Schizosaccharomyces pombe: one gene and its partner. Changing the gene in region 1 together with any one later gene gives a genetic interaction. Each region holds a gene or a part of one and is shown on either strand. Other genes may lie near its edges. The genes, in order: srk1 and pyp3.

Region 1 (5,975 bases):
TTTTAGCTGCTTTTAAAGGATCCCGTTCATAGTGTTAACTCTCGCTCATTTTTTATTTCTGTATTTATGTTTTGCAGAGACGCTAATGGTGGAATGGAGAATTTTCAAAACCAATATTTATCGACGGTCAACCCAGCGTTGTTAGAACAGTTTCAATCCATGCTATAGGAAAAAAGAAGCAGTAAAAACAACATCATATTTCATGATAAAAAAGTTGGTGTTAATTTGTATATCTAAATTAAGCCAGTTGCTACGATTTTTGTTATACTGATTAAAATCCCAATTCAAGCTAACATGATGGATGGGAAATTTGGTTGAACTGCGGTTCAGAAGGAACAAAACTTACCTTTAAAAACCCTTCTAAAAAATTTCCTATGCGATTTCTTTAGCTGTCGCACGCTTTTTTCACTTATTCTAATACGACTCTGCCTTTCCTATCCGCCAATATCGTCTTAGCCAGTATATCCAAATTATAAGTATAAACATGAATACAGTAATAAGAGAACTGTTCATTCTTAGGTAGGCCTTTCTTATATAAACATATTCAGGTAAAATCAACATTAACTTTATATTCATTATGACTATTGAAGAAGCGATTCCTCAGCCTGTGCAAGCTGTCAGCTATATTTCCAAAGATTGGAATGATAACGTAATAAAACACAGTGATACGAAAAGAAACCATAGTAAAGAGGAATCATTGTAGAGAATCTCAGTAAAGTATGGAATCGCTATAAAGAGAAAATTGAACAGAGGAAAATCGCAGCAAAGAGATATGGTAGTACAAACAATCCATGCCTTATACAAAAGGTAAAGGTAATTCGACAGTACAATGATATTTTTTAAAAAAAACATGTTCTTTCTACTACAATTATTTGGCTTGTCACTTGAGGCAAAGACGGCGAAGCGTTTATCCATGATGATAAACAAGCTCGCCATCTCTATACTTAAGGGCTTGCATTGTATGGAAAGGGCGCAATTGCCGTGCCCTATAAGAAGAACTTTTGATTTTTCAAATGAATTTTAGATCTTGAAGTCAGGCGACAACAGCCAAAACATCATCTCATCTCATTCATTCAACAATGAGGAATGGGCGATTTTTCATCCAGCGTTTTTATCAGGTCAATTGCGTCGATCTCATTGTACACCAAGATGATGGATATGTAATGAAGCCAGCCAGTCGGCTTATGAAAATTTTGCTAATTATAAGAAATCAATTGCAAGTAACAGAAATGAGATGGATCGCTGCATCAACAAGGATAATGAGATAGACAGATAAAGTTTGTTGAAAATTTTCACGACAGAAGAAAATCACTCAACTAATCAACTCAAAATGGAATAACATGGAAATTTATTTCGCCAAACAGTGCAGAAGCCACTCAAAAGTGAAATGAGCAATGGAGGGGAGGAAGGAAAGATTGGTTGATTTGCTGTATCAGATGAAATTCATGGGTGAATGAAAAAGAAAAAAAGGTTTGCAAGAGGATGGATGAGTGAGATTGAAAAAATATTAGATCTCGAATAAATTCTTTCTATCCATCTTTCATAGTATACAATCGAAAACAAGATAGAACACATCCATGCCATCCATACTTCTATCTTTTTTTTTCTTTCTCTCTCTCTCTCTCCCCCCCTAGCATTCCTCCAACAACCTCTTTATAAACGATATCCTCTTCTCTTCCCTTCCTACACCAATATCCTCCTATTTTGTCTCTGATGTCATGCTGACCTCCACCCACTTTACACTTTTACCTCGCCATTGCACCGTGTCGCTTACCGCAAAACCTCATCGAGTCATGGATGCGCAACGTCACCACCATCGTAAGCGAATACAGAGTTGGAACGAGCGGCTCGCATGATGCCAATGACGTACGTTAACGAAGGACGTCAAAGTAGGCAAATCCGCCGACATAAACTTCTTGTCTTTCGCATACCACGATTGTTGGACACCAACAATATATTTCTGTGAAAATCAATTGAAAAGCTAATTTAGTAATTTTTTGGAGACTATTGGAAGGGTACCCAGTATTGGAAAGTTATATGATTCTTAAAAATGTACGTTTGTAAATGTTTGCTCACTCGTTCGTGTGGGTAATGTTTGAGTCGGATTTTTGTTTGGATTGTGGATGTAAACGCGGATATTAGAGGCTGGAGATGAGTATCGGAAAGACTTTGCGTTTGGAGAGTGTTGTTGACGTTACACTTCCTACCTTTGGACTGGGTTGGGGATAGGGATCTTAGGAGAGATAAGTGGACGAATGAATTAGGACGGTTGGACAATATCGAGTCTTGGAAGATTACTGAATTCTAATAAAAAAAAAAGAAAAGCAAGAAGCGATTTTTTTCTTTTGTGTTTTTATTTCATTTTTATTTTCTTTCCAAGTCTGTGACTAGTTTTTTGGACTTTTTTTTGGATTTTTTTTTTCTTCTACGTCAGGTGCTTTCATACGGAGATTTGCTCTTTCCTTGATGATCAGTTTTGATTTCATCTTTACCTTATTCTATATCACGTCTCCTTCCCCTTCTGCTAGGCGGTGATTGTATGCTTGACTTCATTCTCTACATCATTCAGGTGACGGGTTTCGCTTTCAAGTCGTTAAGTTAAATTTGGCGGATGCGCAAGTGTATCTTTTTTTTCATTCTTTTTGTGCGAAATTCCTTTTTTTTTTCTTTTTTTTTTCTTTTTTCTATCATCTTGTCTCTCTGTTATCTTGGTTTAGTTCAAGAGTACGGATGCGGATAGATCAGTGTCAAGAATTTGGAAGCAAATGTGTTGGCACATTTCCAGACGTAAAACCAAACGACTAGAGATCTTTAATTAGTTATTTTTCTAATAATACCCATATCTCTTGATTGATTCCGTTTGTCGCCGTCTGTTCAAATAATGCGTTTTAAAGTATGTTTGAATTACCAAAAGCATAACCATAACCATGCCTATTGATTATACTCCCATCCTTTCCATTCCATCCCTCTTCTCAGTAGGAAACATCAATCTCACCGCACTTCTTTTACGCATACAATGTGTTTTGGTTTTGTTTTCTTCCAACCACCTTTATCCATAAACACATTTCCCTTTTACTTTTTTTTTGTTTTTTGTTATGCTAATTTAATTTATTTAGAGTATTCAGCAAAATATCGAGGACGAGGGCAAGGTGAACGTTCGCGAAGTGAATCCCGATTCCTATGCTGAACGGGACCATGGCTATACTGCTGGCATATTTTCGGATGCTGAAGAAAATTTTGGCATAACTCAGCAAGTAGCGGACTCCACTCAAAATCCCACCTCGAAACCCAAGTCCCGGCATGCACATTTCCACGAGACGGTGCACGAGAATCCTTCCGAATATTCGCGCTCCAAATGTAAACAACCTACCAACGAAAAAGAATATGATAAAGCCATCGAGGCTTTAGTTGCAAAGGCCATTGTTGAGGAACATTCCGGCCAACAATTTCCTGTATATAAAGGCCTTGAACAATACACTCTATTACAAAAGATGGGCGATGGTGCTTTTAGTAATGTATACAAAGCTATTCACAACAGAACGGGTGAAAAAGTCGCCATTAAAGTTGTCCAGCGCGCTCAACCAAACACCGATCCTCGCGATCCCAGAAAAAGACAAGGCGTTGAATCGCACAACATTTTAAAAGAGGTTCAAATCATGCGTCGCGTTAAACATCCTAACATCATTCAACTCTTGGAATTCATCCAAACCCCGGAATACTATTACCTGGTTTTAGAGCTGGCTGACGGTGGTGAATTATTTCATCAAATCGTTCGCCTCACCTATTTTTCCGAAGATTTGTCTCGTCATGTCATAACTCAAGTTGCACATGCCATTCGATATCTGCATGAAGACTGCGGTGTCGTTCATCGTGATATCAAACCTGAAAACCTGCTTTTTGATTCTATCGACTTTGTGCCCTCTCGGGTTCGTAAATACCGTGCCGGAGACGATCCCGATAAGGTAGACGAGGGCGAGTTTATTCCCGGTGTCGGCGCTGGCACCATCGGTCGAATCCGTCTCGCAGATTTCGGTCTAAGCAAAGTGGTTTGGGACTCTCACACTCAAACTCCGTGTGGCACTATGGGCTATACAGCCCCTGAGATTGTCCGTGATGAAAGGTATTCTAAGGGAGTTGATATGTGGGCTTTGGGATGCGTATTGTACACTATTCTTTGTGGATTCCCCCCGTTTTATGATGAAAGCATTTCTTTGTTGACGAAAAAAGTCTCACGAGGCGAGTATTCATTCCTTTCTCCTTGGTGGGATGATATTTCAAAGAGTGCAAAGGATTTAATCAGTCATTTATTAACTGTCGACCCGGAATCTCGTTACGACATTCATCAATTTTTAGCCCATCCATGGATTTCGGGCTCTCGGGAACCTACCTTTCCTGCCACCGATGCTCCTAACACTGCTCAACGCGAAAACCCATTTACCTATGACTTTCTTGAGCCCGAAGACGTTGCTGCTGCCGGTTCAGCCGCTCGTACTCCTGGTGTTAACTCGTTGAGAGAAGTATTTAATATTTCGTATGCAGCCCACCGAATGGAACAAGAGAAGATTAGGAAACGTGGTCAACGTGGTAACCAAGGAATCATGAATTTTATGGGTGACATGGATGATTTGATGGAGGAGAATGATGATTACGATGATGGTACCAAGAGCGTTGAACATTCGATGAAACGAGTCAACCTGTCAGGTGAAAACGATCCTAGCCTTGCTTCCCGCCAACCTGCTCAATCGCAACAACAATCATCTCAAAGGTCGCGGAATAAGTTCAAAGGTTTCCAACTCAACTTGTCAAAGGCAACTTTGTATAATCGTCGACATCGACAAAAAGTGTAACACAGACGTCTAACTTCGATTACTTTTCTTTTTTATCCAAATCAGTTGCTTTTAAATGCGATTCAGTAATGCTGATTTTTCGACACTACTACTTTGTTGTATTCTTCCTGTTTTGAATGTTTACTATTTATGAGTTATTTACCTTAAAATTTATCTTCAATCTTTTTAAAACTATCCACTCTGTTAATCAATTGACGCTTACTCAGTGACGAATATGTTCTAATAGTTGGGATTTATTCCAATACTTTCAATTTATTGTTACCTTAAATTTTCTTTATGATAGAACCATACGAATTATATGATGCTCAACAACTATTCTTAGGACTGAGATGTTCAAAAAGATGGAAACTAGTTATGCATTCTTTTAATGAAACCGTTGTTTAAATTAAAATTTTCAAGGGGTGAAATTGGAATATGGTTATTTTCAACTTTGCATATGACATGGCTTCCCAAAAGTTTCGATATTGTACTTATTTACGTACTGTGTAACCGCGATCTCTTGATTCTTTTTAGCTTGAAAGAAGAGATTGAAATATTACCAGGCCTGTCTTTTAATGACAAGGACGTTTAATGCTGTTAGATAATACCATTAATGATTTACGCATTTTTTTGTCAGTGTGTGCCAAAAAAAGCCATTTGCTCTTTGTCACGTTGTTTTTAAAGAATCTATCAATGACTGCTAGTCGTTTTGATTTGAGTAGATAGAATTTTGTGCAATATTCGCTTGATCCTGTATATATTCCAATAGTTTAGGCATGAAGGTTCTGTAGTGTTTTGTCGATGATGTTGAAGTGAAATTGATGATAAATAAATGTATTAAATAATGTTCGTTGGACGGCGTGTATTATTTGGCCAAAACGGATAGGAAGTTGCTGACCATTGTTTAAGCTATTGCTTTTTTTAAACAATGTGTAGGTAAGTTACAGCGCACGGATAATAAATATCTGTTGCTTTCTCGTTTCTCGTAAGCATTATGCCTATAAAATTCACGCATCAGTTGCACGATCAAGACCACTGTTGCATAATTGACTCGCAGAATGTCGTTCGATCAATATTGGTGAGAGAATCATAAGAACAAACATGGTACAGTAAACTTTTTATGTTATTTTTTAGATAAACTTTTTTAAA
Region 2 (4,195 bases), on another chromosome or scaffold:
TTTGTTTCCCAACAAATAATGTAAAAGCAATCTTCTTTCTGAATTTTTGGCAGGAACGAGACAAAGAAGATAGTATTGTAACCCAAACTCTAGGACTTTCAGACACCTTATGAATATTACTGATCAAAAAATCTGGATTCAATGATATTGGAAGTTCCATGAATTGAGAAAATTGCCATTTACAAAATGAGCCCACTTGATTGTCAATTAAGATTCGACATGCATCCTGAATCATTTCAAAGCGAACAGTGTCGTCGGAGAACCGATACAAAGTTCCACAGCATTTTAGGAAATTAATTACCTTAATTTTCAAATTGCTTTTTAAATTTTCTGAGGCTGACGTACGTTCCAACTGGATTGGTACCTGTCGTTTCGCTAAATCAATGCCAATCATATCTGCAGTAGTCTCAAAAATAAATCGTACAATTTGGTTGAGATTATTAGAGCTGCTTTTATAGCTATAAAAAATCTTTTCTAGGTTAGCAATCCATTCAGAGCATGTTGTGTCTCCTAAAGAGCGGAAAAATTGCAAGCTGCATATTGACAATGCAATATCTAAGGGGACCAATTTTGCCGATAATAAATCACCAAAAGTTGTTGGTATAATTCCTTCATTAAACTCCAAATCGTTATCTTTCAAGCATTCTGCTTTCAGGGTGTTCCAGTCTGGAACACGAGCTTTTGAATTGCTACAATATTCGTACCTAAGGTCGTCATCATAAATAGGGTTAGAACGTAGAACATTCAAAACATTTGATCCAACACTTTTTCCTATTAATTCATCAATTTCATCTCCCGTTTGAAAGGTTTGAGTGCTGTCATATTGCAATAAATTTTGTACTGCTAATTTTCTTCTTTTTGCAACCGAATCGTCAATTGTAGCAGTACTAGAAAGAAGATCAATATTCCATCTGTATGTAGATGAATTAGAAGAATCATTTTTCAAATACTGTTTTCGCGATTGGGCTCTTGCCGAAGGCACCAAAGAAGAGATATCAGGAAGCTCGTCCAACTCTTCAGAATCATCACTATCAAGTATGTGGTCAATTAATTTTGAAGAATTATCTAAATCAGGAAATTTTGAAATGTTATTAGACGCATTCATAGAACTATACCAGCAAAGACACTTTTGATGTGCTTTGGTAAAAGGGTGGATGGATATATAACAAAAATTATGAAATAGTAAATAGTGGAAAGTAAACGTTTATAATTTAATTATATAGCATTATAGTTTGACGACGATTGTTTTTTTGTTGTTTATAGTCTCATTTCATCCAATTTGAGCATTCCAAGCAAATAATATTAAACATCGAGTAAATTATTGATTTTCTTATTAAATGAATAATTTGTTAGTTTATAGCATTTCAACTGCTATTACCGGAGAAATCATAAACATATCCAAGCTGGCTTCGTTGATGTTTACATATGACTTTTCTTAAGCGAACATTCAAAAAAAAAGAATAGAAAAAACCTGTCATAAGCTTTTGTTAACAATTAATGATTTTTACTAATTCTGAGTTAAAGTTATTGGAAACCTTAGAAGAAAGAACACCTAAAACCAATTTAGGCACGTTTTCATTCAAAGAAATCTTTACAAATTACATTAAAACCAAAGAAGCCAAGTAAGGGAGTCAAACGAGTCAAACACAACTCCTAAAGAACAATGGCGACATTCAAACAGGCATTTAATGAAACAATTGCTGAGCAAGTATTATAATACTTGGCCTTATATAAGAAACGTCAAAACTTTTCTCTACACTTTAAATATTTTTGTTTTTGAAAGTAAAAGTATAGCAGATCGATTAAGTCCTTGGAGAGAACATAAGTGCGTTTAAATCATTTTATTCACTATCATCAATACAGTTGTTTACAACCTATAAAAGTATCCCACATATAGCTTGTTCTTCATACTACCGGCTTCGTAAAGGTTCGAGTTACCCCCACATAGACATTCGCAAATACTCTGGGCCTAGTCCTACGAAGTGAATGTGAACGTGAACTAGATTACGACTACAACTAGAAACTAGCGCTATGTGGGGGCCGTACAATGATGATTTATTAAACAATTATACTTCTCTTTTTTACTGACTTCTGTCATGGTTTTAGGAATCATTTAAAGTCGTTTAGTAGAAATTATTCTTTCTTTTTGATAGACACAAAAAAATACTTCGGTGAGAAGTTTAAAAGCGAATAAACGCAAAAAATCAATATGTCTTTTAAAGAAGTATCTACAGAAAATGGTGTTCTAACACCCTTGATCACAATAAAAGAAAAAGCGTACATGATTATTGAGGGACTCAATGAGGAAGAGATAGAGCTGTTAAATACTAGGTTGCCAAAGCTAAGTAAGAAAGCGCTGGCTAGAAACCGATACTCCAACATAGTCCCTTATGAAAATACTCGTGTTCGTTTAGATCCAATGTGGAAAGAAGCATGTGATTACATTAATGCTTCCATAGTAAAAATCCCTTCTGGGAAAACATTTATCGCTACTCAGGTTAGGAATAAAAAGAAATTGCGGGATTGTAAACGGCTTTGGCCTTTTTTCTTTTCATCATTTTTTGTAACATAATTACTAACTTAGTCTTCTTTATTTATATAGGGTCCAACGTCGAACAGTATTGATGTTTTTTGGAAGATGGTCTGGCAATCTGTGCCAAAATCAGGCATCATCGTTATGCTTACCAAATTGAGGGAACGCCATCGTCTGAAATGTGATATCTATTGGCCAGTGGAACTGTTTGAGACACTTAATATCGGTGATTTAAGCGTTATTTTGGTAAAAGTTTATACTTTGACATCATTAAATGAAGTTCAAGTTCGTGAATTTGAGCTGAACAAGGACGGGGTCAAGAAAAAAATTTTGCATTTTTACTATAACGGTTGGCCTGACTTTGGTGCACCACATACCTTCTCACTACTATCACTGACTCGCTATATAAAAAGTCTCTCATATTCTCCGGACTTTGAAACAGCACCCATTATAGTCCATTGTTCAGCGGGTTGTGGCAGAACGGGAACTTTCATGGCGTTATTTGAGATTTTATCTCAAACAGATGACTCTACTTCAACTTCGAAATTTGAGGTGGATAATATCGCAAATATAGTTTCCAGTCTTCGGTCACAAAGAATGCAATCTGTTCAATCGGTCGATCAGCTTGTTTTTCTTTATACAGTATCTCAAGAGCTGCTTCAAGGGAAGGAATTTCTTCTTCCTCAGTTATAGCCTTTGGTTTAGAGTTTGCTGATAGTCGATTCGATGTTAAAAACTCGTCTCATGAATTTTCGAATTAACATTATATTATTTATAAGAGGATCTTCTTTTTTTTATTCAAAATTTATTTTATTTGTCTAGCACGTTTTATTTCTTTGATATCCAGTTTTTGGACCGCTAATGATTAAAAATGATTTCAATTACTTTATATGGCACTATTTCTTTAGAGACCTATAAAATGATCAATAAAACGTAAATATGAATACTATTTTTATTTTTTATCTTATCGAAGGTTCAAAAGTCATCTATTGTTATAATTCGTAATGACAAACACAACTATCTCCAAAATATTATAGGTCGTCAATGTTTGTAGCAGTTCATCCTTTGTGATTCATTTATAGATTTTTTATACAAGGCGCTTTTAATTTATTAAAGAATTTACAATAATTTGCTGCATGGAATAAAATTGACAAAGAAGTAACCACGAATTTAAATGTTCATCGCAAAAAAGTTGAATGAACGCTTTGGCAATTCTTTTAATTTTCTTGACCACGTACCATTTGACGTGCAAACTATTAGTACTTTGGCATATAGTGAAGCTGGGTATCTGTGGTTATTGATATTAATACTGTTTAGTACATATAAAAACCTTGTCAAGTATGAAATTCAACTTTCCCATTTATTCCATTACATATCATATAAATTGCTATAAAAATAATAAACAAACAATAAACTTCGTTTAAGGTACTGAATTAAAAGTGCTATTCGGTAAGTTTAGTCGCTTGTTGGTCGATACTACGATCCGCTAAGCCCAACAAGGCTGGTTCAGAGGAAGTAGCTTCTTTAACCGTACTACCCACTACTTCTATTACAGACAGTCGTTTTCACTGTTTTTTTCCATAAAGTTGTTGATTGAATGCAATTATTAAATTCAAAAAAATGATGCTCCCATCCTATTTACATTTTGCTATACGCAAAAAG

What was found.
Region 2: of srk1 (region 1) and pyp3, extra expression of one rescues a mutant of the other (dosage rescue), as found in Schizosaccharomyces pombe (one study listed by BioGRID).

Annotation. Positions count from the first base shown.
Region 1 is NC_003421.2:1,300,019-1,305,993, forward strand, and holds srk1 (MAPK-activated protein kinase Srk1), read left to right. Parts: upstream 1-1,918; 5' UTR 1,919-2,881; coding exon 2,882-2,893; intron 2,894-3,116; coding exon 3,117-4,847; 3' UTR 4,848-5,450; downstream 5,451-5,975. Other genes in the region: karyopherin/importin beta family nuclear import signal receptor Kap113, read left to right, coding at 7-168; protein mug150, read right to left, coding at 622-936. UniProt on the Schizosaccharomyces pombe protein: Delays the mitotic G2/M transition by promoting nuclear exclusion of cdc25. During osmotic stress, inhibits the G2/M transition in a sty1 stress-activated MAPK pathway-dependent manner.
Region 2 is NC_003424.3:5,296,629-5,300,823, forward strand, and holds pyp3 (protein tyrosine phosphatase Pyp3), read left to right. Parts: upstream 1-2,086; 5' UTR 2,087-2,209; coding exon 2,210-2,497; exon of another isoform or gene 2,498-2,602; coding exon 2,603-3,226; 3' UTR 3,227-3,561; downstream 3,562-4,195. Other genes in the region: Smc5-6 complex non-SMC subunit Nse6, read right to left, coding at 1-1,105; SPOM_SPAC11E3.10 (ER or Golgi multispanning membrane VanZ-like family protein), read left to right, coding at 4,154-4,195. UniProt on the Schizosaccharomyces pombe protein: Contributes to dephosphorylation of tyrosine 15 of cdc2.